3 linked regions of the Tribolium castaneum genome follow. The main gene of each other region encodes a partner of the protein of the gene in region 2 in a complex. Links are inferred from orthologs where the notes say so. Each region holds a gene or a part of one and is shown on either strand. Other genes may lie near its edges.

Evidence for each region.
Region 1: Mms19 (region 2) and Ciao1 share a complex: the UniProt entries of both Homo sapiens proteins name them as parts of the MMXD complex. The link is inferred for Tribolium castaneum from reciprocal best matches to the Homo sapiens genes MMS19 and CIAO1.
Region 3: Mms19 (region 2) and galla-1 share a complex: the UniProt entries of both Homo sapiens proteins name them as parts of the CIA complex. The link is inferred for Tribolium castaneum from reciprocal best matches to the Homo sapiens genes MMS19 and CIAO2A.

The regions. Positions count from the first base shown.
Region 1 is NC_087395.1:25,658,893-25,669,224, forward strand, and holds Ciao1 (probable cytosolic iron-sulfur protein assembly protein Ciao1), read right to left. Parts: upstream 4,415-10,332; 5' UTR 4,269-4,414; coding exon 3,636-4,268; intron 3,590-3,635; coding exon 3,068-3,589; 3' UTR 3,054-3,067; downstream 1-3,053. Other genes in the region: protein CNPPD1, read left to right, coding at 445-477, 525-624, 675-880, 932-1,060, 1,269-1,943; pkaap (A-kinase anchor protein 10, mitochondrial), read left to right, coding at 4,598-4,625, 4,678-4,761, 4,805-6,105; sugar transporter SWEET1, read right to left, coding at 7,066-7,170, 7,219-7,338, 7,387-7,669, 7,727-7,896; uncharacterized protein LOC135265320, read left to right, coding at 8,639-8,711, 9,132-10,156. UniProt on the Homo sapiens protein: Key component of the cytosolic iron-sulfur protein assembly (CIA) complex, a multiprotein complex that mediates the incorporation of iron-sulfur cluster into extramitochondrial Fe/S proteins.
Region 2 is NC_087400.1:4,132,839-4,144,065, reverse strand, and holds Mms19 (MMS19 nucleotide excision repair protein homolog), read left to right. Parts: upstream 1-3,797; 5' UTR 3,798-3,866; coding exon 3,867-3,954; intron 3,955-3,999; coding exon 4,000-4,202; intron 4,203-4,249; coding exon 4,250-4,430; intron 4,431-4,473; coding exon 4,474-4,679; intron 4,680-4,728; coding exon 4,729-4,872; intron 4,873-4,922; coding exon 4,923-6,033; intron 6,034-6,078; coding exon 6,079-6,200; intron 6,201-6,254; coding exon 6,255-6,355; intron 6,356-6,404; coding exon 6,405-6,549; intron 6,550-6,594; coding exon 6,595-6,765; intron 6,766-6,812; coding exon 6,813-7,001; 3' UTR 7,002-7,015; downstream 7,016-11,227. Other genes in the region: arginine/serine-rich protein PNISR, read right to left, coding at 1-167; GCS1 (mannosyl-oligosaccharide glucosidase), read left to right, coding at 639-863, 911-1,243, 1,291-1,611, 1,808-1,998, 2,253-3,630; fwd (phosphatidylinositol 4-kinase beta), read right to left, coding at 7,646-7,830, 8,215-9,571, 9,721-10,114, 10,482-11,066. UniProt on the Homo sapiens protein: Key component of the cytosolic iron-sulfur protein assembly (CIA) complex, a multiprotein complex that mediates the incorporation of iron-sulfur cluster into apoproteins specifically involved in DNA metabolism and genomic integrity.
Region 3 is NC_087396.1:14,604,759-14,614,691, reverse strand, and holds galla-1 (MIP18 family protein galla-1), read right to left. Parts: upstream 1,754-9,933; 5' UTR 1,609-1,753; coding exon 1,575-1,608; intron 1,484-1,574; coding exon 1,418-1,483; intron 1,366-1,417; coding exon 1,286-1,365; intron 1,236-1,285; coding exon 1,052-1,235; intron 1,007-1,051; coding exon 909-1,006; 3' UTR 896-908; exon of another isoform or gene 841-895; intron 812-840; 3' UTR 528-811; downstream 1-527. UniProt on the Homo sapiens protein: Component of the cytosolic iron-sulfur protein assembly (CIA) complex, a multiprotein complex that mediates the incorporation of iron-sulfur cluster into extramitochondrial Fe/S proteins.

The sequences.
Region 1 (10,332 bases), on a different chromosome or scaffold from region 2:
CACGACTCTAACACCCACACACTCCCAAACGCGGTTTTAGTTCGAAATTGTTTGAAAATTATTTAAATCACTCAGGAATCATCTGAATGATCCCACTCCACCTGTGAGTGAGTGAGTCTAGCGGGCTGACGTCACGTCACGAAACGGCGCCAAGTTTGAAATTGGGCCTATATTTTGCTATTTTTGGCACTTTTTCGTGGTTTTGTGGGGTTAGATTATAAATTAGTTGTGTGCTTGGGTCTGTGATGGCCACCAAGGGCGAAGTTGCAAGTTTGGTTGGTTTATTTAGAGTTTGAAAAAAATTGAGGTTAGGGGGCCACGCGCATGTCCGGTGACATTGCCAAGGTCCATGATTAAAAAAACACTGATTGCAAATCTGTGATTAATTATACGCAATTGCGAATCATACGACACGTTTTGGGGCTGTTCCAAGTGGGTAAGACAATGTCTAAGCTTCCGAAACGGGTAAAGGATAAGGTGAGACTTGGCCCCCTTTTGCAAAAATCACGCGTTTGTGGCTTTAGAGACACATAGGGGAGCACCAGAAGTACATTTCGCGGATCACCAAGACCCTCTATTACGGTAAATTCCCCAAGACAGATGAGCTGAGTCTGCCTGTAACAGGTGGGTGTGTTTGTTGTGTTGTAAGTCAGTAAAAAACGTGTTTTTGTTAGAATTAGCCGCAGAGCTGTTCTCCGAAGCCCAGAAAGGCCGGTCCTTGGACAGGCTGCATTGTGACGATGCTGCGAATATTTCAAGAAATGCCTGTGTGTCCCCTTGCTCTTTGGTTATTGCGATTTTGTATCTAGAACGCTTGAAAAAGACATGCCCTGAGTATCTCGAACGCACGGCTTCGTCTGACTTGTTTTTGGTTTCTTTGGTAAAATTTGAATCACAATAAATTAGCGAAAAAACATTAAGTGGTTTCTAGATGGTTTCATGCAAATTTCTCTATGATGACGGTGAGGCAGATGAGGTTTTTATGAACGAATGGGCCCTTTCAGGGGGCATGAGCGTCAAACAGTTGGTTCAGCTAGAAAAGGAGTTCCTCAAAGCTATTGTAAGTATTCAAGACTGTTTTAAACAATAAAAAAATTGTAAAAAAATAGTATCATACTTAGGGTTATCTCTGATAGTTACGGAGTTATTGCTCGATAAATCGCGACAAAAATTGGAAAAATCAAACAATAAAAAATCGAACATAAGGTCAATGAAACTATGCTAGAACGAGTTTAAAAAAAATTGAATCCCAATTTTTTTTTCCTTAGGACTGGGAAGTCTTCGTTACTGAGCTGACATTTTGGAAGAAACTGTCCGAAATCGAAACGACCTTGGCCCGCAACCAGGGTGGAAAACGCGGCTTTTACACCTACACCGAACTAGAGCGTCTTTTAACAAGCGTCGAATTGCGAAACCTCATCCAAAACATTTTGACCATTTCTGTGATCCTCATTACGGCTTACACGGCCGCCTTATTGACTTTATTGGGCTCTGTCTTGATTGTTAGCCACATTCCGGGGGCTTGTCTTCGCCCGCAAATCGAAGCGCCGCCCTCGGAGCCCCTCTACAACGAAACGAACCGTGTGAGCCCCCTCCATGTCGGAATTTTCCTCGCAAGTATTGAGAGTTTTCTGACACCGTTTTGCAACAAAAGTGAGACTCAAAACGTATCCTGGGACTGGTGGAGTGCCCCCACGATGACATGGCTCTACGAAACGTCGAAATTTGTCGAAGTTGAGGCTCCGACTTTGGGTTTTTTGGACTTGAGACGATTCTATAAGGATTATTTTTTGAAATTGGATTTGGAGGATCAAGTGCATAAGGAGACGAAAGTTAGGATTCAAGACCAGTTGGAGAGGTCGTGGCACGAAGAATGGACGGATACGATAGGTGATGGGTTTTATAACAGGTACCTGCATTACCTACAAAATCTCAAAGCCTGATTTGATTGGTCAATAAAACCAAACATTTGACACGATTGTTTATTCACCAGCCTACTCAAACTACAATTAATGGGTCTTTATCGACACTTGAAACAATAATATTGACTGAATTTTGCAACAAATCACTCAATTGTTTCTGGAAACGCCCCAAAAAGCCCCGTTCGGAATTACTATGTTCGCAGAGAATCACATGAACCCCGTTTTGCGTAGCATCCAGGACTTCATGGTGGGACATTTCCCCCGTTAGGTACAAATCGCTCGTGAGCCCCTTTAAAACCGAAGCCCCCGAACCGGCACACAGCCCCACGGTTTCAATCCTCGCATCTGAAAATCACTTTCGTTTCACTCAATTTCAAGGGCGTGGCTTACCTAAACCTTTGTTCCTAGCCAATGCGAGTCGCAGATGCCCCACCCCGACATGTTTTTTGACATTTGCGACCGCGGTTTCCACAGTTATGGGCGTGTCTAGTGTGAGGATGCGCCCCGCCCCTTGTCTCGGATTTTCCAATGGTTTGATTGGCGCAATGTTTTTAAAAGCGAACGCTGAGGCTAGCCAATCATTAACGCCCCCTTCGACACAATCCCAGCTCGTATGGGGCGAGTAAACCGCAATTTCATGTCTAATACATTGGATTACGATTCGTTCTTTCCAAGTCCTGTGACAAAACGATTAGTTTTGATTGGCTGTGTAATTTGGGGCGTACTTGTCAGAGACTGTTTTAAGGCCTTGAAAGATATTAGGGTGATAGGAGATAATGAGCCCCGCTTGGAAGTTTTTAGCTTCATTGACCACATCCTCAGTGAGGTCGTTTGTTAATAGAATTGTTTTGACCTGTTTGTCGGTCATTGGGTCCACCAGGAGCCCCACATTGTCCCAGCTCTCGGCAAGGGTCAAGGGGGCGTAGGATTGTAAAGTTTTGACGATTTCTTTGACCGACATTTGGGGGCCCGTGCTGTAGTAATTTTTAATCCGACTTAGGGCCGCCAACCGTCTTATTAACATCTGTGGAACGAAAAAGTAATCTCAATGGATGGGCGACAGTAGGCTGTGACGTTCAATTGTAAACAATTGACATAAACAGCCGCCTATCCATCAAAGAAAAACAAAGGAACGTCAAACAATTTTATTCAGGGATAAATTTCCACAATTTAATTTCCCCGTCGTCGCTGCACGACACTAAAATATCACTAAGAAGGGGGTTCCAGGCGACGCAGTTGACATCCTGGGCGTGCGCCCTCTCAATGCAGGTGACTTGGCTAAACGTGGGGGCCTCTAAGTCGCCCCCTTCCTCCTCTTTAAAAATTCTGATAGCGTCGTCACCGCAAGCGGTGGCGATCAAGTCACTTGAGTGGTTCCAAGACACGTCATAGATGGTTCTGTTGTGGTACCCCGACATGGTACACACACATTTCCACGTTTCCTCCGTATTTTGGCCCTTTTGCCAGATTTTCAACGTGGCGTCGTCGCTACACGACACAATCCTTGTCCCCGTTTTGTCCCAACTTATGCTCCAAACCGTTGACTCGTGCCCCTGTAAGGTGGCAAAACAAACCCAGTCGTTGTCTGACTGGTCCTCTTTGAACAACTTAACCGTGTTGTCGTAGGAGGCCGAGGCGAGGATATCGTCATGTGGGTGCCACACGACCTGCAACAACCTCCATAACAACAAAAATCGCCCCCTTGCTACCTACTTTCTTCACATCCTGTGTGTGCGCACTCAACACGGCCGCGCAATCATACTCATCCTCCTCGGCAATCTCCCAAATCCAAACCGACTTGTCACGGCTACAAGTGGCCAAAAATCGCCCCGACTTCGACCAGGAAACACTCTTAACCTCATTTTCGTGCCCCTCAAGAGTGGCATTGCACTCGAACTCGCCCGATTTCTTGTCCCAAATGCACGTAGTGGTGTCAAAGGAGGCCGAGGCGAGGTAATTGCCACAGGGGGACCACGCAATTTCCCGAATTGTGCGTTTGTGGCCATCGGTTAGAATTACTTTATTCGACCACTTCGAGTCCGAGTCTTTCGACCAGATTCGGATGGTCTTGTCTTCGCCACACGAGGCGAACGTTTGCCCCTTCGGGTGCCAACTCACGTCCCAAACGCGCCCCGTGTGCTTGCATAAAGTTTGAAGGGGCTCAAGCTTTGACATTTTGGGGTTAGGGTCGCGAACAACGACAGGGTGGTTAAAAAGTGGTCTCGGGGGACGCACGACGTGCCAAAAGGGGGCAAATGTACTTAAGGGGCTTACCAATGCCACAAAACGTGAAAAAATGGGTGATTTTATTACGTTTTTGCTTCGTTGAGTTGGCCGCACTGTCATTCAATGCAGCCAACGCATGATTATTATTGCGTTTTTTTGCAATTATTTACCAATAAAATTGCGTACTTAAGTGCAAAATCAATTATGTTTCTTCTAAATTAATTGTTCGCTTAATTTTGAATTTTTTTTTCGTGGTTGAATGTGCGATTTTTGTTTTTTTTTGCCGTCGGTGTGGCCAGCCTCATTTGACGTTTACATTTTTTGTGCCGTGAATCACAATCAACTTTGTTTATCAAAACAATCGGTTTTGTGGGTGTTTTGGGGCCTCTTGGCACTGTTGGGTTGATCGGACTCGCCCCCGCCCCCACAACCCATCATTACGATGAACCATGTTACAGTTTTGGAGGAAATCAAAAGGTGCGTAATTTCGTAATTGATGTTTGGGTTTTCCTAATTAGTGTTTCCAAAGCCGGCAATGACACGAAATGCGCAGCCCCAGCGGTGACGCCGCGGCCCCGGCCCCCGAAGCCGCCCCCTCTGGACCTCGATATCGGTGAGTACGAAATTGTAGAAATTGGGGTTATTGTGTCTTAAAGATGAGTTTGAGGCAACGAGGTCACGGCTATGTCGGACCTTGGACGAGGTTTTGGGCGATAAGGGGGCTCTGGGCTACTTTACCCAGTTTATGGAGGCGCGAAACGCCGCCAAATTTATCAATTGTTGGGGGGACATTGAGTCGTTTAAGTGTGAGATAAGTACGGATTGCGACTCCAGTGACACCCAAAATTCGAGTGATTCGTGTGAATCTAGTCTAGTTGAGGGCGCTGTTGCGATTTTTAAAAAGTACATAGCTCAGGAGTCCGCTCACAATGTTAAATGCCCCGAGTCAGTTCGTAACGAACTCGTTGAAAACATTTGTGACTTGGAGAAAATCGCCAGTTGTTTGGACCCCGTTCAGAGTTTCGTTACCGAAGTCATGGAGAAGGAGTATTTTGAGGCGTTTTTAGCCAGCGATTATTTCTGCAAATACCAGATCGATGTTTTGACGAGTGGCCAAGTGGCCCTTGACGATATTCTCTACAACGAAACGGCGCTTTTCTACTTTATGGAGTTTCTCGAACAGGAGAATTCGTGCAATTTGTTGGAGTTCTGGATCGCTGCCACCAACTTGCAGCAACATTTGACCAATCAAAAGGAGTTTTTTGACCCAATTGAGGCCCAAAATGACGCTGTTGTGCTCTACGATAAGTATTTTTCGCTGCAAGCCCATTGTCCGTTGGGTTTCGGCGATAAAGTTCGCTTCGAAATCGAACAAAATATTTGCGGGGAGAACGGACTTGTCTTGGATTGTTTCAAGTTGCCCTTGAAAATCGTCGAACAAGTGTTGGAGAAAAACTATCTCAAACCGTTTTTGGAGTCACAGTTATTTTGCAAATATCTGTCCGAGTTGATAAACACCGTTCAGTCTAACGATTATTTTAATCTCGAGAATAATCGGACGCTTTCGTCCGATTGCAGCAGCGAGAAGAGTTTCAGTACAAATAGCGCATTTCTAGCGTTAGAGTTAAACTTTAATAATAATAATTGTAAAAAGAAGGATAAAAACGCAGATATGAGTATCGACACGAGGCAGTTGTGCGACCCCGATTCGCTCTGGAAGAGGAGACGAACGCACAGATTATCCTGTGGGAGGATCACAGCTTTGGGTAAATTTGAAACTGATTTGGAGCCAGAACCTGATCGGAAAAGTTTCAAGTTTAAAAATGTTGTCAAGAAGTTTGTGAGTCTCGACGAGGATAAAAGGAAGGAAGAAATGGCCTGGCAAGTGGCCGAAATGATCGTCAAAGATATTACAAATGTTACTCTAAATCAGGAAAAACCATCATCTTCATTGTGATAATGTCAGAGAGCTCAAAAATGTTGTATGTACGGCGGCGTGTGATAGAAACTTCCCACTTTTTTTCAAAGGCTGTGTTTCCCCCCGTGAATTGAGTTGGTAGCGCTGCGATCGGATGGCTCTGTAGGTTAGTCATTGGATTTTATTATTTTTGTATGATTGCATTTGTTTGTAAATACTTCTTTAATGTATAAACATATTTATATAATAAAATATTTTAACTAGTTGGCGGTTTTATTTTTATATTAAAAGGCGTAACTCCTTGGATTGAAACATTTCCATTTCAGTCTTATAATGAATTAAACGTATTTGAAATTTAGTTAAAATTCTACAGCACGCCACTGAGATAAAATTGTGTGATCTCGACAAAAAAATCTTCGCAAAAAAGACGATTTGTCGTTGAAATATCTACCCTTTTTTGTCGCCGCTTACGAAATGATAAGGTCAGTGCGGGTTGTGTCTTTCTATGCGAGCGTTGTTACCGCAAGATTTATCGGATAGTGTAACTTAGTGCGAGTGCTTGGTGCAAAAATGTGGTCAAATACCGAATTTCCCGAATTGCGCAAGAGTCACGACACCTTTTTTCAATGTAAGGTAAGTCAGGAGTTACTCCAATCAAACATCTCGCAACAAACATTTTGGTTAAAAAGTGCGTTCAACCGTTTATTTAGGGTGTATCAAAAATACGTGTGTTAAGTTAATAAATCTCTAAAAGGGCCGTTTATAGAAAACTTTCTTAAAATGTAATTCGTTGTTAAAAAGCGCGAATGGACCAATCACATTTGTTCAGTTTGGTCACGTGACCGCTGATTTTGGTCACAAAATGAAAAACCCATTTAATTTGAATGATTTATTCAACTAAGGCGTTGAAAATAACATTTGGCGAAAACTCAGCTCGCTGCCGCCGCTGCCTGGAATGTGAATTATTCAATACTTAATTCTTTAATTGTTTGCCCTTTTTTAATGCTTCTTCTTTTTTTTGCTTACTTGTCTCCCGCCTCCTGGATAAGCAAAAATTAAAATTAACTGGACGAAACACAGCACAAACCCAGCCACGTTTTGAACCTTGAAACGTAGAAATTAATAATTTTCCCACAATTAGTTCAAACTCACAAGCATGAATTCATTTTTTAAAATAATGGCGTACAAAAGCCACGAGAAGGTCACCAAAGTCGCCATTAATGTTAGAACGAAGGGGATTTCAGAGGCGTCTTTTTTCTCGATGATTTCTTTCTGCGATTAAAAGTTAGGGGGCTAAAATGTTTTGTTTTGATTACGTACAACTCCGAGAAGGGGGCTCCCCAAAACGGCAAGCATCAGTATTGTGACAATCAATCCGTAGCGAAATTCGACCACTGAGGGGCTCTCATACTCGCAATAGCCCCACAAGACCGCAACAAAAGCCATGCTTATGGAGAGGGGCTTCAGGATTTGCTTCCACTTGTCATTCGAGTAAAAATAATAGACGATGCAGTAAATTACGTTAAGGACGATTGCGAATAAGTTTACTAGCAGCATGTTTTCGTCCCCAAGCATCAAACCATATTTCAGCATTGCCAACCCTCTTATAATAATTAAAAATTATTATTTTTTTCTTCTACTAAAGATAATTGTGACTTACAACATGATACCGCCCACAAACGGCATCGAATTCACACCGTCAGTGTTGCCTTTTTTGTAAATGTCTCTACAAATGAAAACCCCCGAGAAAAATTGCAGAATTGTGAGGTAACTGGCCACCGTCCCCACGGTGTCTTTGTGGGGCTGTAGCGTCTGCGAGAGTGACTCCATTGCGAACTAAACAACCTGAAACTAATTACGACTTAAATTAACGCTGAATTAAAAATTCTGATTAGAAATGTGACACTGACAATAATTATGAATTAAAAAATTATCCATGGTTATAGAACGATTAACATACAACAAAAGTGTGGTATTTATCACTGCACTAGAGGTTGATTGAGGTCAAATTCATTTGAACCCCTTCTTCCAAATTAAACAACAAGGAGACAATACTCGCCGTTTACGAATTCGCAGCAGTGTTATAAGATATTTTATTATCTAATCGCAATTTACTGTTAAGCCTTGACACGATGACAAGCAAATAAATCCACTTTTGAAAATGTAGTGATTACAATTTTTAGTACTGGATGCAATAATCAATCCAGGAATCGTTTAATTGAGATTGCCGCTCGCAATAATGAAGAATTAATGATCTTCTCGTCATGTCCTTGACTGTGACCTTCGTCCCCTTATCTCACAACCCCATCCTAACCTCACTTTTGACATGTGTCAACCTAACTTCAAAAAAATTGTGACCGACTAAAAGTGCTTAAAATATCGTCAATAATTGGAAAAAAATCACACTTCTAACAACAGAAATGGTGCTTATTGGTACATACCCCACAAAATAACGTTTCTATTCACAAAATGTGAATTAACTTTCTAATAAAAGTGTCAAGGTAAAATAATTTTTTCGCCAATTTTGCAATTTTCCGCACAATTGTAGGTGTTTGCAGTTTTAAAAGAAGTCATGGATTTGTGGAATGCAAAATATTTGAAGCCCCCACCCATCATTAATTGCAAAATCAGCACCAAAGAAATAGGTAAGAGGTCATTTTGATTGAAAAGCGCCAAATTGTTGTTTTGGACCAAGTCACGTTTAAACATTTATTTGGAAAATTAATACAAAGGGAAGAAAAATATTGTGAGGTTATGTCACACCAATCGAGTGATTTTTACGAAAATTGTGCAATTTTCCGGCACCAGTCGGGAAAAAACGCTAGTTTTTTCAAATTATGATAAATTTATACGCTATAGTTACGTAAAACGGGGCTTTATTGCGAAAAAAACTGTCGAGACGTTAGTGAGGTTGTCTTTATTTTTTTATGAATTTTATAAAGGACGCTTTATCTCGACATCGTAACTCGCTTTTGGCCTATTGAAACAATAATTTAAGTTATTTTGGCCCGAAATTCGATGGTAAAAGTGAGGTTATGTCACTTCCAATTTTTTAATTTCTGCAGATATTCGCCTTTTAAAAATTACGCTAACCGACGCTGTGGCCTTTTTCGACAACCAGCAGCACCTCTGCACCGAGGCAGCGCTCCTCTCACGCACCGTCTACCGCCTCAAAATGAAATTTCGTTCCTCTAAAGACTTCAAAGCCGTCGAAAAACTAAGTCGTGTCTTGCGCACCTATCTCCAAATGCAATTCTCCACGACGCTCAAATACGTCCTCGACTTGATCCCCCCAAATTACAAAGTGTTAAAAACATTTTTTCTGACTAAAAACATGATTGATTTCCTCCTAGTTCGCCTCCAGGGTTTGGGTAAAACGTTGTGTCGCGTTTTGGACACTTGTAAGGTGATTTCCGAGCTGACCTTGCAGCGGTTTCGTTTGGGTCATTTTTGGAAAATAGCGGCGATTGTTTATGCAATTACGGCGCGCATTTTTGTGATTACTAGGGGTATTTTTAAGTTTGTGTGTGAGTTGTATGGGAATTTGTTGCCGTTTTCGGGCATGTTGGCCAATGCAGGGGGGCAGTGGTTGCCCGATGGGTACGTTTTCCCTCCCAAATTGAAGGATTGGTTGGGGGTTGATTGGCTGAATTTGGAGGATAATGTGATTGAGATACCAGACGATGAGCCGAGTGTCGCATTTTTCAAGTTATTGGATGATTCCGATGATGAGGTCGAGTTTTGTGATGAGTATATTGTGGTGAACGACGAACCTTCAGTTCAGGAAGTCAAAGATTCGGATGTTGAATTGTGTGAAGATAATGTTAGCAAGGAAGAAGAATCGGATAATGAGGTTGATGTCGGGGAATTGGTCATAGTTTGTGATAATAAAGATAAGGCACAGATTCATGACGATGTTGATGTTGGGGATCTTGTCATAGTGTGCGACAATTCGAAAAATGGGACGAAAGGTCGGAAGAGACCTTTGGAAAAGCGCGAAAATTCAAGTGTCATTGTTTTAAATGATAGTGTATCAGAACCGAAACGGAAGAAGAGGAAGCGCAAGCGCAAGAATCAAATAAATAACTAATCTTGTTACCACATTTGTATTTTTTGTTACGAATAAAGAGTATTTTTGAAAATGTTGTTTGGAATTAAACTTTGTTATACACGACGATGAAGATACAGAAACAATCTCTTCATCGTCTTGTATAATAACCAATAACTTTTTGACCTTTACTACGTATCATAACCGAAGGCTGGTCA
Region 2 (11,227 bases):
TTTTCGCTCGAAATAACTGGTGGTGGCCCCGCTTCCTTCATTATGATCCACTGTTGGGCCAAAGCGGCCCAATCCACTTGCTCGTTGGACATGTTTTGGTACGTTGATGGGTTGAGTGCCCATTGAGGGTAGGTCTGAGATTCGGTCGAATCACTACCCGAGTACATTCCTACATCACTAACGACACGAAATCAACAATTTTCACTGCGATTGTCACTAGTTTTGGGCCAAATTCTATGGAAAATGAGCGAAAACCGGCTACATTTCCCACCAGATTGTCAAAACTAAACACCAACACGACCAACCAAAAAATACTACATTGCAACGCGAAAAATTAAATTTGGGCTTTCAAGCCCTAGACCGCGACCCACTTGTGCGTGAAATGGACCCCACGGGTCACAATTTATCCAAAAACGCCCAAAGTCGGGCTAAAAACAACAAAAACGGTGCTTATCTCTCAATTGGTACCACTGGTGGGGTAACAAATGTCAATAAAAAATCAGCAATAAAGCACGAAATTGACACAAAAAAGCGGAACAATCAATGAAAATATCCTTCCAGTGCCGTTTTAAACCCCCCAGTGTAGTAAAGTCGGGTTAAAAATTGCTTTTCGGGTGCCATCAAAACCTAACCCTAAAATGGCACGTCAGAGACGGACTCAGGGCGCCGCAGACCCCAATAAAGGTACAAACAGTAGCAGCAGCAATGGTAGCAACTCTACCAACAACCGATCTTCAAAATCCACTAGTCTCCTTTCATACTGGAAGCAAATCATCGGTTGTATTGTTCTGGGAATTGCGGTGTCTCTGGGCTACATGGGGTACTTGGAGACACGTGTCAATACCCCCTTCGACGATAAGAAGGTGCAATTGGTACACTTGTCCCCACTTTTGGTAAATTTTCATTTTAGATGGTTGTCAAAAGTGGGCTACAAGTCCCGGAACAATTTTGGGGGACGTACAGGCCGGGGCTTTATTTCGGGTTGAAAACACGTGACCCCACGTCACTTGTCACCGGTTTAATGTGGTATTTCCCCAAAAGGTTGCGTCCAGGGGGTGATGGGATACGTCATTGGTGTGAACAAGGTGATGGGTTGGAAAAATATGGGTGGGTTAAACATGATGGTAGTAATTTTGGGGTACAGGAAATTATCGATGGGGGCTATAATATCGATACGTCGTTTGTTAAGCGACTTGGGGGCAGCCATGGGGGCGATTGGACGGCTCGGATCAGTGTCACCAAAGTAAAAATTTGGAGATTTTTTGCGAATTTGGTAATTGGGTTTTGCAGCCTGGGGCAAGTGAGGATGTTTCACTCATCTGGTATACAGCGTTAGATGAGGAAACGAAAGGTTTTATCTCGCTTACTAATTCTGCTACGAAATTTACCGGAATTAAGGGGGAAACTACCGGTTTAGGGGAATTCACTATTAAGTTTACGAATAATTCCGGTGTTGTGAGTCATGAATCGTTTTTGAGTACGGTAGCCCCGGGACTTCACCTACTCAAGGAAACAGTGGTGGGGTCACTAAGACTGGCACAGGACAAACCAAATTCCCCCAGACGTATTGTTTTGGGCGGGGAAATACTCCCGGAAACGGGCACCGGAAAAGTACTACGTGTGCACAGAGAATAAGTGGCCCGTTATTTCGAAAGTTTAAAATTCCCGCCTGTCGGTAATACAGTAATCTTTATTTAATTATTGAAACTAGACGGCGCTGGTCTATTGGCATTGTTGACAACTTAATTTCGAAATCATAGGCCACTTGATCAGAATTGAGTGCACGGTAATAGAAAAAATATTGTAGGCACAACCAAACTTCGTCGCCGTACAATTAACGGGTAAAGTCCCGTTTTCGATCGATGTCGTTTTCGAATCGGGTAGTTTCGGTACAAGACAGGATACGCTGGTGGGGGAGACTTACAGCAAGGCTTTAGCTTGGCACGTGGCCAGGTTTGGACAAAGGTTTGAGGATACCTTTGGATTACACAAAAAAGGGTAATTATTTACTTGTTTTTGATCCGATTTTGAAATTTTTTTATACTTTCGACCACTAGACCGAGTGTAATCGTTGGTACTTGTTTTTGTCCAATTCCGCCAACTTTGACCTGACCGACTATTATCATAATTTTGTCGATAACTTTTTCGTTTGTGGTCAGATTTCGAAAATTTTTCATACTTTTGAGTCCTGCGCCGAGCGCGATCGTTAGCACTTGTTTTTATTCAAATCGGCCAATTTTGATTTTTTCTAGTTATGGTCCGAAAGAGGTGACCTTCGCCCAATCGGCCCTCAGTAACATGCTGGGAGGCATCGGCTATTTTTACGGCACTTCCAAAGTGCAAAGTTTCTACACCAAAGAACCGGTGCACTATTGGCACGCCCCCTTATACACAGCAGTCCCGTCTCGAAGTTTTTTCCCTCGTGGTTTTCTATGGGACGAAGGTTTCCATGGCTTTCTGATCGCAACGTGGGACCTTGACCTTGAACTTGACATTATCAGTCATTGGTTCGATTTGATGAACGTTGAAGGGTGGATCCCCCGTGAACAAATCCTGGGTGTTGAAGCTATAGCGAAAATACCCGAAGAATTTATCGTCCAACGAAATACTAACGCAAATCCGCCGACTTTCTTCCTCACGTTGCAATACATTTTGCGTAAATATTACGATAAGTTGAGCGAGGGACGTTTGGCAACACTGGAACGGTTGTATCCAAGGTTACAGGCGTGGTTTGCATGGTTTAATACCACGCAAAAAGGGGCGGGGCCTGGCATGTACCGGTGGAGGGGGCGTGACGCAACAACCAATCGTGAGCTGAATCCGAAAACTTTAACTTCGGGCCTTGACGATTATCCACGAGCGTCACATCCGACCGAAGCCGAATACCACGTCGATCTATACTGTTGGATCGCCATAGCTAGTGATACTTTAGCAAGGTTGGCAACACTGTTGGACCGTGATGGGTATAAATACGAACAAACTGCCGATTATTTGAAAGACAATTTCCTATTGGATAATTTACATTGGTCTAATTACGCATCGCGTTACGCCGATTATGGTTACCACACTGATTCTGTTAAATTAAAACGACCGAAACCGTTACCAAGGTCACAAAACCAAAACATGGAGATGGTGCGTGTGACCTTGAAAAATCCCGAATACCGATTGGTCGACTCGACTTTCGGTTACGTCAGTTTGTTTCCGTTTTTGTTACAAATGATTGATTCGGATTCGTTGAAATTGGGCCAGATTTTGGATGACCTTCGAAATCCTGACTTGTTATGGACGAAGTTTGGTCTAAGATCACTGTCCAAAAATTCACCCCTGTATATGAAACGCAACACCGAACATGATCCGCCATATTGGAGGGGCCAAATTTGGATAAATATCAATTTTCTAGCAGTCCGGTCCTTGTATTTCTACGCCAATACGGAGGGGCCCTATCGGGATAAAGCCAACGCGATTTATAAAGATTTGCGGGAAAATGTGATTAAAAACGTGATGACGCAATATTTCAAAACGGGTTATCTGTGGGAACAGTATAATGACGAAACGGGGGAGGGGAGTGGCTGTAGGCCTTTTACGGGCTGGACGGCCCTGGTTGTATTACTTATGGGCGAGCAATACTGAGTCAATAAAAATCTAAGTACGGTCCTGTGTTTTATTTAAAAATTAAAAATAAAACCCGCGCTATACGGAAGTTTAAGGGTCGGTTTACAGAAGCGTCATTAACTTAATCTGCAATTAAATGCGTCATTAATTTAATCTGCAATTAAATGCGTAATTTTTTGAAATTTGAAAATGAAGGTTATAGTAGGTTATTTGGGGCATGCGTGGTCAATTATCATCTGTCAAAAAGTTTGGTTATGATGGCTTCGAATTTGGCCAAAAATTTCGAAAATGTTACAATAGATGACCAAGAATTTGCCGAAAAATGCCACGAATTGGCCCAAGGTACGTACAAGTGGCCCCACATTGTGACATAACCTCAACTTTCAGCACTTGAATCGGGTCAAGTGACCTTGTTACGCCTTGTCGAGGACCTAGGGGGGCTCCTTATCGATACGAGCCCCAAGGGGCGCGAGCTGGGCATGTGGGTGTTGACACGTGTCGTCGAGACTTTGCCCCCCGATGTTTTGGACGAAAATCAATTAAAATTTTTAAATCAGTTTTACACGGACCGGCTTAAGGACAATCATTTTGTATGTCAGTCCAGGGGCTACTGTTTTTTAACTGAGGGCGATTTTAGGTGTTACCGGCCGTTTTGCGCGGTTTTCTCGCCTTAATTCGGTGCGAGGGGGCCCCGAAAGGGGGCCCTGGCCCTTTTCTCGTCCAACTCTTCCACAATGTCTCGTGCCAACAACAACAAGAAAACGACAGATTAGCAATTTATCAAATTTTCGAGACTTGTTTGGAGAAATTTTGGCCAGGTTTGGGCCCCCTTTTAAAATTCAATATCAGTCTTTTTTCCAGAATTGGATGAAATGGGGCCCGACTTTGTCTACGGTGTTATTTCGGCGGTTGATGGCGAACGCAGCCCCAAAAACCTGATTTTTCTCTTTGATTGGTTTCCGAAATTTTTACGAAAAGTCAAATTGGGGCACCTGGCTGAGGACGCTTTCGAAATCCTGGCGTGTTATTTCCCTGTTGATTTTAGGGCTCCGCCACAGGACGAAAACGTGCCCACTTTGTCCCCATTAAACGACAATCAATAATAATTTTTTACAGGGCATAACTCGAAATACCCTCGCTGAAAAGCTCGCCTTTTGCCTCGTTGCCGTTCCACAATTTGCCGAATTCTCCCTTCAATTAGCGTTAGAAAAATTCGATTCTTCGCTTGAAATTGCTAAATTGGATTCGTTACGACTTATTGTAAGTGGTTTTTTTTGTAGCGGACCGCAGACTAAACACCAAACTTGTAGGAACTATCATTTGTTACTTTTGATATTTCACCAACCACAGTATGGCCACTCATACAAAAAGAACTGTTCCAAACGACAAATCCAGCAATTGAAAAAGCCTGTTTAACAACAATGACAGCTGTTATTAAGCACACACGTGACCCAAATTTGACAGAAACGGTCAAAGATATCTGCGATACAATCAAAGGAAATTTTTTACCCGACTCAAAATTATTCCAACCGTCGGCACGTTTGATAATCAGTGTTGCCAACGCATCGGACAGCGTTGCCAACCTCGTAGCGCGTGAAACCGTCCCCATATTAACAAACATGTATAATATAGCCAACACAACGGCTGAAAAAACACCATTTTTGCGCCTACTAACCGACTTGTATGCACTTGCCAGCGATTTAGAAAATCTCGGGGAAGTACCGGTTTTACTTGTAAAATCTGACTCACCAATCGCTTTTGATTGTTTACGTGACATTTCGCCGAAACTACCCGAAAAAATCCGACTTTTACTTTACCAAAACTACGTCAAGTTGTTACAAGTGCCACAAGAAGGCGCTGTCTTACAATGTCTTGAAGCTTTAGCACGGGATTACCCGAACGAAGTGGCTACGCACGTGGTCGGTAATACAGAAAACTATACTCCATGTTTTCTAGACGCCTTGTGTGTGACTTTGGCAAATCAAAAATTTTTCACGGCCCATTTAATCGATTTAATTTTGAAAAATTGTGCAATAAAAACATTACAAAAAGTTTTAATCAAATTTGACGATTGTGACGCGATTTTTGACGTTTTAAACGCACAAAATATCACCCATGTGTTGATCGAGATGGCTTTGACTGGTGATACGTGTCACGAAACGATTGCATTTGTTTTGAAAATTGTGATTGGTCGAATGTCGAGCGAAAAACAAAATGAAATGATTCGAAACGAATTAAGTCGAATTAAGATTGAGGATATTTTTTTACTAAGCGGGATCTTGACTTGTTTAAGGCGCGATGTTGTAATTAATTACGAAATTTTAAGCGAATTAATTGAATTTATAATTAGGGAGAGGGATAATTTGAGACGTAACGCAGCTATAGAACTGGTTGCAAATATTTTGAACAAATGTCCCAATGGTAATTTAATTCCGTGTTTTAATTAATTATTACAATTAATTGTAGATGATGTAATTAGGGAATTTTTGGAACGGGTTGACACTAAAACCGACCCCATTCTTACGTCATGGCTCACCAAGGCCTTAATTATGCGTAATCACGAATTAGGCACATTCTGGACCACAAAAGTAGGCAATTAATTGCGTTAGCTCAGTCGTTAATTAATTAATTTTCCGCCTTAGTTAATCGATTATTTGGATAAAGATGAAAGTATAGCTCCGTGTTTTCGCACAATTATGTCCAATTCGGAGTCTTTAAGTACCAAAAGTCATTGCAATGTTGCGTAAGTTGATAATTTAGCACTTAAATAATTTTAATTAAATAACTTGTAGATTTTTGTACCAGCAGAAGTTTTTTACGATAGTTACGAATAAATTAAGTGCGAATTACAGTCCAGACAAGAATTCGTATTTATCAGGCCTTGGATATTTACTAGAGTTCGCACCAAAACCGGCCGTTTTAGTCCAATTTAGAAAAGTAATAATTTCAAATTGAATTTAACCAATTAATTTAATTTTGTAGATTTCGAAATTAATTATTTCGTGTCTTGACCACACCACCAATCATGAGATTCTCATTGTAATTTTGCGATTAATTCGCGATTTTATCACAACTAAGGAACAAGTTATTGAGGAAAATTTGGGGATTTTTTTGGCAAGATTTCTCAAATTAGCAACTTATGATAAATCTATGGTAATTAGTTAAAATAAAACAGGTTTTTTTGCTAATTTTTGTTTCAGAAAGTGCGAATTTTGGCCCTCCAGTGTTTACAAGAAGTCACTTCTAAGTTTCCAATTTTTATGCTTTTGCCTCACAAAAATGACGTTTTAAAGGTTTTAGGACAAGTAATCGATGATAAGAAACGAATTGTACGAAGGGAAGCAGTGGAGGCGCGCTCTATGTGGTTTTTGTTAGATTTTGATAAATAAATTTTATTACATTACAGGTTTCTGTAATTACCCTTTTCACCATTTTTTTTCCTCGAAATTTTTGCGCTCACTCGTTTTGGCAAACATTATGCTCGTTAAACGTTAAACCGACTTCTGTATAATGTTACTTACCCTCTTGCTTGTATCCGTTTTACTGGTTATAGAAAAATAGTGTGATCGTTTATTAATTTATCGTTTATTTGAAATACAATTCATAGATAATATAATAAAATACAATATTCAAAAATTTCATAATAAAACATGCACAGTTTTGATTGGTTTCCAACTCAAGAAAAAAAAAGTAATAACACCTGCAAAAAGCCTACTGCTGACATCAGTCTTTTTGCATTTCATTTATATAATTTCAGTCATGTATTTATACAATATATACTTATATATTACTTTTATTTAAAAATGGATGGATAACGTGAATTATCTAGCCAACACTAAAACTTTACGTAGATATTTACAAAAAACACTAGATTTTTAAAAAACAACTGTACAAATGGAATGTTATATATACAAAGTTTTTTTGCTTCCACACTTTGGCCGCTGAGTATTCTTCACTCACATGGCAAATCAGATCACTTTATTTCGCACTAAAATTATTATACATGGTGTTTATGATATAATTGAGCATTTTTTTAAAGTATCCCGTTTGTGAAATATTGAAAACCGTCGTAAAGTTTCGTTGATAGTGAGTGAATACTGACTTCCACCATACGATTCACTTCGAGTTGTAACTGCTCCTCGGTCATACTCATGTGGAAACGGTTCTTCAAATTCTGGACAGTCGCTGCGCCCGATTTAAAACACGGCAATTGCGAACCTGAAACAAGGTTAAAAACACACTGTACAGAGAAAATTTGACGGCTCTAGCGCCATTTTTAACCGAGATATGCAGGTGGCCGCAAAATTGTGGTCACCCGGTATGACAAGAAAATTCTTAGTTCAGCTATTTTTACCGTAAAAGAACCGAATTTTAAAGAAAAAAAAATGTGTACGTCGTAAAACAACCCACAAAAACTGAATTTAAAGTCAAAAAATAACATTTCCCAAAATTCAACAAACTACAGTCAAACCTACTTCACCCGAATAAACTTAAAACCGACATCTTTTCTTACGTAAAACGACCCGCTGAATCCAAAAATGAAAGAATTATTCACGTACGATGCACCGTTTGGAAAATATAAGTTTTTGAAAAAAAACCTACCTGATCTCATAATCTCGACCAATGGAACAATCATATCCATATGTTTCCTTGCAGCGACCAATCCTTGCAAAATTAAAATCTTAAAATACTCAAACATATCCGACTGATCACCACCCATGACTTCAACAAACTCAGCCGTTAATTTAAACGGCGACGTTTCGAATCCTAAATTTTTCGGTGACATACTCAGTATAAAACCGAAATCGATATGAATTAAATGACCATCACTTTTCAACAAAATATTTCCATTATGTCGATCTTTCACTTGTATCAAATAACAAAAGAGACAATAGGCGGCACAACTTTGTACGAAATTTTTCTGAGCTGTCAAAAATTCCTCACACGTTATTGGTCCATACTCATTGATAAAGTACTCCAACAGTGACAATTGTCGATGTTTTTTGATTTGATGGAGTGAGACAGTATTCAAAATGGGTTCAATCAACCCACTATCATTTGATAGACAAAGTATGCGATATGGGTGCACCCATAATGGTACATGTTCCATCTCCCATATTTTCTGGAACATTTGTAAAAGTTGCGATGCCATTAATTCCTGACGCAAATCATCGCCACATTTCACTATCACTGACAGTAGCGTCCATGATGTCAAATGCCCATATGGGCTACATTCACGAATACGTCTCTCCTTATCATGCCATGGTTCCTTCAGCACTGCGGCAGAAGGATCCTGAGGATCATGGGTGAACTGTTTATTTTTTTCCTCATGAATTGAATCAGACAAACGTCTGCGTATTTCCCCGGCTGCTATCCACATCGGGGGTTCCCTCGAATCACTCGATTCTTGTGACATTTGCGACAACGTATCGCGATCAGCTATACGTTTCAATTGCGTATACTGAAAAAAAATATATAGTTTGAGGCACTCACTTGCCTCGTGCTGTAAACCAAAAATTACCTGTTGCGATATTTCATCATCCTCCTGACTCCAATCGGGGTCAGTATCATCACACAAACCCCCACACATACTAAACGCCGATAATGAGGTCGTATCACCTAAATTTTCCTCAGATTTTGTGTGACGTAACGTTGGCCATATTTTTGGTGTAACAATTGACGTATGCAAATCATCAACTTCCACCACTTCGACATAGATAATATAAGGTGCCTTATCTTTGGAATTTAAGACGGCGCCAACTTGTGGCGGTATCCTAACAATGTGATGTGGGGTCGTTGCTAGGGGTAACCAAACACGAGCCGGCAAATTCAAATTAAGTGTCGTTAATTCCGCTACTAATCTTGTAGTTTTTGCTTCCTTGGTCGGTATAGAAGACAGTAATTTACCGATTGAAATCAGCGCTTTCATAAATTCAAGCTCGGGGGCGAGTCTAGGAGCCTAAAAACGCATTTTTAGAAAAGGGGTCGTCAGTTTCTAAAAGGGGTCGGGATTTTCTAAAAGGGGTCGGGATTTTCTAAAAGGGGTAGGACTTGTATTTTAAGCCTGGGGACCGAAATTAACATTTTCTGAAAAGGGGTACCCCTTACCGAGCACGTGCATTCAGTCTTTTTGCCTCGTAGGTCATTGACGACGCCTCTGCAACTGTCGAAACATGTGCATCCGTTGTCAAAGGCACGACCGGAGGTGAGGTCGCCCATACAGAGGCGTTTGTCGGTGGTTGAAGGGCGTCGTGTACCAAGGGCTGAAGCGTCGCTTTGTGAACGTTGATGTGATTTTTTCGTAGTTGTTGAATGTAGAGTGCTAAAGGTGGTAGAGACCATGATGGGTGTTTTATGGTCTTTGGGTCGAAGTTCGTCGGAAAGTATAAGATTACGAAGTTTGATGCCGAGTGGTTTCTTTTTCGATGGTACTGAAGCATCAGAACTATAGGCGTCCAAAAGCCAGGCACATTTTAGCGAAAAGTCGATCGATTTTCTACACCTGAAAGGGGTACACGGGGGTTTTTGGTCATTTTATCCAAAAAACTAAATCATAAATATCTCATTCCGACATTCAAACAGGGAAGAAGGGATAATTTTGGGCATTTTAGAATCGCAAAAAGGGGTATTTTAACAAGTTTTTGCAACAAAAGGCTCAAATATGTCTTTATTTCAACTAGCAGGAAGTCAAAAAAAATATAATAACAAATTTTTATCTCTTTTCCACATCTGAGAAAAGGGGTATAGGGGTACATAGTTAAAAAAAATCATAATTTGTATATATGAACCGTAAAATTGATGTAGAAAGGGTAGAAAAACATCAGATGTTCAACTTTTAACTTTGAGTCACTCACTACGCTCGTCCTTACCTATGTATAAGATACGGATGTATAACTTCAGCCACGTCGTGCATTTGTATATACATACAAACCAATTGTGGCAAATAAAAATCCACTTCTCCATCATCAAAACTAAACATCTTATTCGCTATATAACTTTGCACACCTGGTTCTTTACTTTTAAACAGATAATGCATTGCCATTGACACATCAAACACTTTACTCTCCAATAATCTCAACATTCCAAATCCTTTACTCGTTTCATTGGATTGTGATAGTGTTGTTGTTGGTGTTATACAACACTCGGCTTTCGTCTCGTCAACGCTTGATTCACGCGTTGTTGTACTTGTATCGCTTGAACCCGAATCACTTCCACACAATATACCCGAATCATCCGACCCCAAACTGGCAAGTTCATCACGTGTTGTTTTGGGGTCGACTATCGGTGGTACAACTACAACAACAGTCGGTTCACATTCGGGACTTGGTGTAACGTCCACTTCGGGAATACGCTGAAGGGCCGAATCAAGACTGCGATTGCGATGGTGAAGGGTGAGGTGGGGGGAGGTGGAAGACGTTATCTGGGCGACAGGAGGGAGCAAAATACCCATCGACCTAAAAAAAAACATTTTTCGTCTCTAAATTACAGAAAAAAAACTATAAAAAATAGTTGACTCACTCGCACCAACGCGTTTTTTTTTTTCGAAAAAAAAAAATAAATAAAAAAAATTGTTGGGTCACTCGTGCGTTTTTAAACGCCCCACAATCACTCGCTT
Region 3 (9,933 bases), on a different chromosome or scaffold from region 2:
CCAATAATTGGTGTTATTTTTTGAGACTGCTAATTAGGATTTTTTATCAGATTTTTAATTGTACTTGTTATTTGAGGCGTTATTAGTATGTCTCCTTTTTTGTTATTTTTGTACAAAATTGTGCCGTTCCTTCAATTTGTGTCTAACCTCGTGGCTTTTCTATGTTTAGGTTACAAAAGGCAAAGACTGCTACAACTGGACACTGATAATAACATTAACATTTCAAACCAAAATTATGAAATTTTGGCGAGTGAAGCAACAAATAATTGCTTGATTGAGCTTTTGGAAACAAGTGTTTTTAAAGAAAATTTTAACATTTAAGCGAAAATTTGGCGGTTATAGTATTATTTATTTATAAAGCCGATTGAAAATAGCAATAAGGACGTTTAGAAAATTTATAGAAACGGCACGAGGATTAGATTTGTTTGCAACCTAACCTTTTCTGTAATGTCTAAGTGACTTCCTTATGATTTTTAGGTGTAATTTGTAAATTATCAAATCAAGATGGTGCATAATAGAGATAGGGATGAGACAAGATATTTATATTTTACTTATGTATTTTTTCTATTCTGAAATAAACCCAAGTGTGATATCTGTTACTCATGTTTTGTGAAACCCCCAAATAGATTTTTTATTAATCACAAAACAGCGATGAGACGCTGTTTCAAAAATAGAATGAGTCTTGAAAAAAAATATGCGAAATGCTGCGTCACCGTGATTTTCAACAGTGAAACATCGAAACCAGGAAACATTTTTGGGAAATTTTCCAGAACAATTTTCTGAGAGCTTGAAGCTAGAGTCTCATTTTGTACTGAAAGGAGCAAGGAAAAACTTTATAAATACGATATAATATGTAATTCTAATAAAATAGTAAATAACATTTCGGCTTAAATACCTGGATACAAAGTTCAGTCTTCTTCAACAATACAGTTTTCTACCATTTCCCGCAAGTTTGGATTTTCCATTGCGGCTGCTATTCTCTCTTTATCGTTAATTTGCTTATTGACTAAAAAAAGATGTTATTGACGAAATGCCTTTAAACTTGACCTACTTTCGTGTTCAGTTGTGTGGGCTCCTGCCTTGATATAAATATCTAATTTAATCCTATAAGGAATACATCTTTCTAATTTTATCCTAATACACAATCCAATTAGCGTTGCTAAAGAACAGTGGGGCACAGTGGGATTAAATTCAACCCTCACAACGCTAACATTGCCAGAAGTACGTTCCTTAACCTCAAATACCATAAACTCAGCAATTTATCAAAAAAAAAGGAACAAATCACCTCAACTCCCTCCTCATAAACTACGTTTAATTCTTCCAAAGTGTTGGGTTTCTCTGGGTCCTTTATAGTGCGAATTAAATCTAAAACAACCCCTAAATTAAATTTTTACTAAAATCAGGCTCAAGCACTCACCATAAACTGTATATTTCAATTCACTATCATCTTCACTCACCTCCTTGACTTCCTTGCGTGGACTATCTGTTTTTTTCCGGAAAAATGATAAAAACATTATGTAATTTTTACAAATAACTCATGTAACGAGTAATGGTAATTGATCAGCTGTTCTAACCTTCAAATTCCACCAGCTCCAGAAGGTCAGGCATTTTGTGCTTATTTGGAAAACTGTTAAAGGAAGTTAAAAAAATTCAAGGCTTTTGTTGAGAAAATTGTCCGGCGTCGTGTGAGGTCATTTTGTTACTGATTGCCAGATTTAAAAATTATCTCAAGTTGAAGCTCTTGTAATGATAACCCAAGTTCGAAAGGTTTTGATTGTGCACGTAATAGTTAATTGTTGTGGGTTGTGGGGCTTTCATTTCCGAACAGAATTCTATAATTAGGTGAATCCATATAAAGCAATGACTTGCAGAAATTTTAAAGGTGTTGTGACACCAAATTGGCAATATACTCGTATTTTATAAATACACATAAATAAATTAAATATAATAGTATTTTTTAATTTTTTAATTTAATTATTCATCACAAGTTTTTTGGAATAAGAAAAATACCTCAATGGAAATTTACCGTAACAGATTGAGTCGACATTTTAATTGTTGATTAATATTAGTTGGTTACAAGAATATTTTTGTGTTGATGATACCTGAGATCGTACCCATATGATTATTATAAATAAAAAATATTTATAAGTTCACAATAATAAGTGTCTTTCAGTTCAATTCAATTTGTAGATTTGGTTGCCTAAACTCTCCTAATGGAATCCTTTCGAATCTAAAGTGGTTGTTGCAGGACGATTCACGGGGAATGATAAGCGTGTCCATATTCTCAATGTAACTTTTATTACCTTTCGCAACTTTGCAAATCTTTTATTAAAATTACAATTTTATGCATGAGTCCTATTATTTTCAGTCTTATTTTTCAATAAAGGCTACAAATTTACTACAGACTGTGCATAGTAAACAATTTGGAAATTTTACTAGTAGTACTAGGCCCAGTACTAGGTGATACTACTCTAAAATTGGAACAACAAAATAATCAAAAAGTAACAGTGATTGTGCTAGAAAATTGAACAAATAGCCCGGCGCATCCACCATTTTTGAACTATTTTCTACCGGGTGATTCCAAAATTCTACGAGGTCTGTGTCTGTAAAATATAACTTTGAATACACATTCTAGTAAAAACTTGAGACTAGATAAACTGGATTGTCAAGTAAATGGCAAAGATCGTGTCCACTTTATTTCTTGTTAGAAAATATGTTACTGATTTGTTGCTGCGTTGTTTGTGTGTGTATATTTGACGATATATCTCATGAAATCTTATTATTGCTTGTGTCTGGTTTGATTGTAGTATTAATTTGAAACTCTGGTGAGCATCAGATAACGCGAAATACTCATACTTTTTCACAAGTTTAAAATGACTCAGCATTATTATACGTTTTCATTTAGTTAGATGTGTGGTACTTATGTTAATTAAGGTTGAAATTGGAAGTTGTCACATGTTTTTTTACATTAGCTTTACAATTTATTTTAATTTATAAACTACTGGGATATTTATTTTGAATACTAAATTAATTCAGTTTTTGCTGTTCGTAACGTTGCATCAGACAAAGTTTTCATTCTTCAAAGTATTTTTTATAACAATTTAATAGTTTTCGAAGATTTAGTTTATATAATTGACTTGTTATGCTTGTGGCAAGATCTTTTTTATTTCCTTTTTCTTCTTGTTCTGGTTTTCTAAAAGTACCATTTCGTCAATTTATCTGTTTCTTTAACACTTGGTAAAAAACATTCATTCTTCGACTTTATAATTACATAACACTTCAAAAAGTGGCGGTTTTTATTAAAACAAACTTGGTTCAAATCTCCACTTTAATTCTTAGATGGGTAGTTAATTCAGATATCACCTCTGCTGCAGAATTCAAATTTTTGGTTTTGGTACCCAGTCTTTCGTTCAAGTTTAACTTTTCTGTCCGTTGAAATATCAAGTGCAAAATCATCACCGTTAGCACAGACGATGGAACCGTCGGAATTTATGTACCAGTTTTGGTTTATGTTTCCATTTTCTTTTTCGCAGAGTAAGATGTTGGCTCCTGTTTTACTTTCACGTTCGATGTCTAAAACTTTTCTAAGTTTGCACTTTCGGGATTAGCTTTATAAAAACAAGGAAGCGCTCACCCTTTGTTAGCCTTGTTGTGGATGAAAAATTTTCCACACTCCACATGTTCCACTTTCCACAGCTGAGTGTCGAACCTGGTGACTTGGCGGGCGGCAACAATCGTTTGTGTTCCATCTAAAACTAATCTAGACTGAGGGTTCCTTAAAATGTAGTATTTCTCCATTTGGGTAGTCAAAGTCGTGTCAGTTTGTAGTTTCCATAGAGTTGCTTTTCGCAACAATGGGGAGCGATTTTTGTGTGTGTAAATTGCGCTTTCCATAAATCCGTTCTTTCCATAAAATCTGACCCCAAGTCTTCGCGTTTCAATAAACTATTAAAGGGGGCGGACAGTCGATAGGTGGCTTTTGGAATCCTCCGATTCAGCCATCCATCTTTAATGCCGCAGCAAGAAGTAAGTAAACTTGCGCCCTATCCGCCTATTCATAAGTTACGGAATGATTTCCATACAAAATCCCGATGCTTTCAGCAACATACATAATGGATTAACCACTTCCGGAGATTCACCTGGAACTCGAGAGGATGTTTTGTGGGGTGCTTTGGTCAAACAATCCTCGACTCTGGACTCTAACAAGCAGGAAACAGGAGCCATAAAGAAGATAAACATCGACTTGATGCAGTTTTGCACGGGCGGCTTGTCTTCACAGCGAATTAGAGATGTTTGCATGCGGACGACTGGAGGGATTCGATCGGGACTAATACGAGGAAACATCAATCTTACTAATGACAACGTGATATTTTGGCCAAGAATAAACCTGGTGTGTCTACCAGACGCCGGCCGATAAATCATTTTTTTGTGCCGGCGGTTACCAGAATAAGGCAGAACACCAGGAATGTATTTATTTGTCTGATTGTTGTCTGCTTTATGAATACAAAGTTGATTTATTCCACACAATTTTATGCATTTAGGGGCCGATTGGGAAAATTGATGGGATTTTTTAAGGGTCGCTGAGCGGCCTCGGCGTATTTGGTAATTTTTTCCTTAAGAGTTATATATTTCAAACCGTAAAACTAGCGTGGACATCATTGACGTTTTGTTTGCAACGCGTTAGTTCTCTTTAGCAAAAATGTGTACAACAGTGGACTGTTATTGATTTCCAAATTAATTGAGCCGGCGGCAAGCCACGGCTGAAAACTCTCGATCCCAAATCGAAATAATTTGTATCGGCCCTTTGGGCGGCGCAAAAATTAATGTTTCAGTGTGGTCCGGCAAGTTCCATTCGGTCCGAAAAGTTTAATGCTCGATTTAAAAGACCACACTGGGACATTAACCATGATAAAAAAACGACTTCGATCTGTTTCCGAACTCGAGGGAACGTCCGACTTAATAAAGAAATAAAATGATCATTTTATATTGCACCTATCTCGTATATTTCGATTATAAACGATGTACTTTATGGGGGATTCCTTGGAGTCAAACAACTGAAAGGAACATTAAAACTTGTACTCGGGATTTTATGGGGTTCCAATGCGACCTGCTCCAGGCACGTACTTAGATAAATAAAGAGTAATTTAGAGACAAGGCGTGATGTTCGTTTTTGTCTCTGGGAGTTTTTAACTTGGCTGTGCAGTTTCGTTTTTAATCGGATTGGCGGAGAAAATGAAAATTACGTGTGCAAGTCGGGTGAGTGACGCGACAGTGGCGCCTTCTTACTGACCGTATCATTCATCACACTGACCATGATCAAAGCCAGTAGATATACTAAAGTAGCGACACGGACCTTGACAGGGCAACAATAACGATTATACACTCTACAGATGGCTCCACTATCAAAATTCAAAAACGTACGTCAAAAATGTCAAGATTTTTTCACGTTTGAAAAATTGGTGAATCAGAACAATAAATTCGGTGATCGTCTATAATTTCACCCTGGTTATTACAGTTTATGTGTACAGATACCATGAAACCTTCAAACTTGTGCTTCACTCACGTAAAAATAAATCAGATCGTCCCTAAATTCAACTGAACATTGCAATGAGAAAGGCTTTTAGAATGCGCAGAATACAGCAACTCTTATGGACATTTCGAAGAAGGTGCTGGCGCTTCAACAGTGAATTCATTCCTTAAAAGAATTTGAACTTTGTATTTAACGAAAAAGCCAAAAACACGTTTCAAAATAATAATTGTTTGATTTAAAAAAATTGTGATACTTACATTTCTAATTTTAATAAACTCCTCTCTAAGTGTTTTTACAGTTTATCGTATTTAATTACTCCAAGATTTTAAATTGGTCGATTTATTTTTTTTTAATTAAATTTAATTTTTTCCCTCAACACTATTAACAACTGCTATGAAACCAAGACATTTTTCGCAATAATAAAAGTAAGTGTTTTCAATATTACCCGAGAGGTAAACCGCAGAGGAAATCAGTGTACAAAATTGAGTAAATCAAGAAATTTTAAGGAAATCACTTTAAAAATTTAGGGAAAAATCAGAAGGAATCATGATTAAATCACAGGTGTACAAAATTTGGGGTACGGTTTACACCTCGATATTACTTAAGAAATAGAAATAATACAACCTGAATTTCTCTTTATTATTTAAATTTTGTATAACATAGTTGCTGTAAATAAGTGGCTATAAAAAGTCCACCAAACTTCGATGCGCTACAATTCCCAGATTTAGATGCATTAAATTTTCTGAAACGAAGGTCAGTGTAAGCAGAGCGGTCTTAAATTCTTTCCCATTAGGGCGGAATCTAATAATTTAGAATGAATTTTCAAGGACGTATTGTTTAAATCTACCTGAAATACTTAATGAAAATTTGGTATCTTAGAAATTTCTCTTTGAAGTTGATACCTACCACTTTACATTTCTTAATCAAATTTTGTTTGAATGAGTTTCTAGTATTATTACACAGACGTGCTTCGTAATGTGGACGACTTTGAACAGTCTGGAGGCTCCTTTGTTTAATGTTTTTGGTGTCGATTTATTATTTACGTGATTGAAGCACAGGTTTGAAAGTTCCATGGAATCTGTTCATAACCAATAACCACAGTAAAACTACAGATGAACACCAGAATCATTGTACTCTTTACCAATTTTTCAAAAGTGAGAGAATCTTGACAGTTTTGACGTATGTTCAAAATTACTGACAATTTGACGAACCTTTAAAATTACAGCGTTATTACAAAAAATGTCGAGCCTTGGAAAACTAAACTGCTTGTTTAAATACATTCTCAATTTAAATCTATCATCTAATGTGACCTTTAACGAATATCTCTTTAGAGCATCCCCTTTAGCAATTTCATTTAGTGAAGATTAAACGTAGAAACAGAGACAAAACGCACTTACTAAGGCTTTTCAAGGCTAGGCATTTTATGTAAATAATGCGGTATATGTCGAATTTCGATAGTTGCGCCCTCTCTAGAGTATATAATCGTTATTGTTGCCCTGTCAAGGTCCGTGTCGCTACTTTAGTATATCTACTGGCTTTGACCATGATGAAGCGATGTCGCTCTCTGCTGACAGTTATATGAACTAGTCAGAATGAGTTTGCAGAAAGAGAGACTCGGAGATGGCCGTAAATGTCCGCTTTAACCCTTCGCCTAGGAAGGATTGCTTTTTGCCCTTGCGTGATCATCATTATGGAAAATGTTCGATTATGAAGCCACACAATAAATGTGCTTATTTGCCATTTAATAACATAAGATTAAAAGCTAGCCCGGCGCATCCACCATTTTTATATTTGCAATTTTTAATATTTTTAAATTTTATTTTATACTGTATGTTTAATTTTTATTTCTGTTAATTTCTTGATCTATGTAGTTTGAAAGTTTTTAATTATATCAAATATTAAAAAAATGGAAATTGGGGATCAGTTCCCCAAAAAAGTGTTAACTTACGACTAAAAAGGTGTTCGAAACGGCAAGACACAATGTCCAGACTATAAAAATTTATCTTATCTGTTCTAATTTAACCTAGGCTAGAATAAGAAGGCGCTGACCAGGAGTTTTTATGAAAATTCCGGAATTTGTTAATTAAAATTCAATTATTTTATTTTTGAAAACCCATTGTAGTATATTTGTCAAACTAATCGCTATTTTATTAACAGTTGTGAATTATTTTTTTTCGGAAATAATTATCATGTACTACTCTATCAAGACACAGAACATGCATTGTTGATTTTATCTTACACCGACAGGCTTCGTAAAATTATGTGAAATATCCTGTAGTCGTGAATTTCGCCTATTTTATGTGTGATTTCATGTCGTACAATAAACGTAAACTAAACCAAACATTAGTTTTTTTAAGGATAACGTTGTTTGGTACTTATTACTTAAAATAATACTATTATGGTAATGATTAATTTATAATAAAATCTACAAAATAAACTTACAATTTGCAATTTTTCTTAACGTGCAAATGTTTAATAAATAAATAAGTTTTTAAACAAATTTAATAACTTATTTCCTAGTTTCTGGCTAAGTCGCTAATCATTTGAAAAAAATTCCTGGCGTCTGGTGTTAATAATTGTTTTTAAACGAAATAAAGTTGCGGAACATTGATTGACTGTAATTTATTGTGGGGTTGAAATACAGTTAAATTAAACTTTGTTAAGTATTTGATTAGGTTCTAGTTTTACTTAAATATGTATTTTCAAATCTAAAACAAGAAATACGATAGTTTAGAATTACAGATACTAACAATAGTATATTGATTGAAAACTACGCACGTTTTGTCCTTTTCATGTTGGTTTTTATAAATAATAGATAGCGGAGTAATAATGATCAGTCAGTATACTATTTCGTTTGATATTGATGTTTATTTATCATTCTCTTTAAAACATGATCTTTTATTCACAACTACATTACTAACCCGTTTTTTAACATTTTAAAAACATTCAGGTAAATGCAATTCATTTAATGTGAAATGATACTGATAAGATAAGTGTAATAATAATAATAATAATAATAAAATAATAATAATATGTAATAATAAATATTTGTTTGTAAACTGTTTAATCTGAAATCACATCGATTACTGAAACCAACAAGAGTTTTTAATTGTTTGTCGTGAATTTTCACTGCCGTTTCCTTGGCAATTCTGCTTCAGAAGCAAACTTTAATAACTACACTGGTTTGTTTTGTTTCGAACATTTTTCAAAGAACCGGGCTTAGTCAATTGATAAATCTCAGATATAAGTAATCCTCCCCTTTATATCCTGAACTAACCCGAAATAATGGCGATAATCTCGTCTTAATCTATGGATACACAATCTACGCCTTGAACGCTTTTCCACGGTTTTATTGCTTTGATTTTGCTCGCTTCCACTAATAAATTGTCTCATTTTAAATTTACATTCAACTTTACCATAAAATTGCCGCGATAAAAGCAAAATAAAACCAAAGTTTCGACCAAGAAATGTAAGCAAGGAGTAAAAACACCAAGTGCAATAATATTAAGTTAAATACCAACTTCTGTGTTGTTTTTCTCCACCGAAAGACGTATTTCTAGAAAACAAGCCGTACATAAGTTTTAAATTGGAGTATTTTTTGTTAAAGGGGCTTAATTAAAGGCAATCAGAGCTCAAAAAGCAACAAAATCGGTGGGTAATTTCCAATTCAAATAGGCAAAAGTTGGAAGCAATTCGCTTTTTTGCCAAAACATACAACACGCGAGCAAGACAGCAACATCCGTCTCGATTTCTCGTTTTCTCTAACTCCGTTGGGCTTTTTTAAAGTTATTTCTAGTTTACACATTTCGCACGACCATTTCGGCGCAGCGTCCGGATAATGATCTTCAAACAAGATTTAAGCACGCAAAGATGAGCGCCGATGTTCTTTCCGCGCTCGTTTCAGCCTTCTCGAGTTGGTACGCAACTGATTAACTTTATTATTTTTATCGGAATTCTTGGTACTTCATTCCCGCTAGATTTCATTGAAACGGTGGCAGACGGTTCGAACAAATAACATCGATTTGCAATAGCGCGAATTAGGGAGAACCGCCCAAGGGAGAATTAAAAATTGATGCTAAACATCGTGAATAATGCGAAGGACGGGGAGGTTCTCGCTGATATCCGCCCGACGATAAGTGTATTAAATAAATTTCAATATGAATTATTTGATGGTCGGTTTGCGAAGAGTTTAAGTGGTTTAACAGGCGCGGTCACATTCTGTAAATATTTGAGCGCTTTACCTCACCGCAGCGCCACTACCGCTTCTATTAGTTCAGAATTTTTATTTAGTTTTTCGGGGAGGAACGAAAAAGATAAGAGTTATGGTATTGGATTTAATAGTTTATGAGCCTTGGAAACGACTAGCTACGGCTCCTTTACAAAATTTGCCCCAAAATACGAAT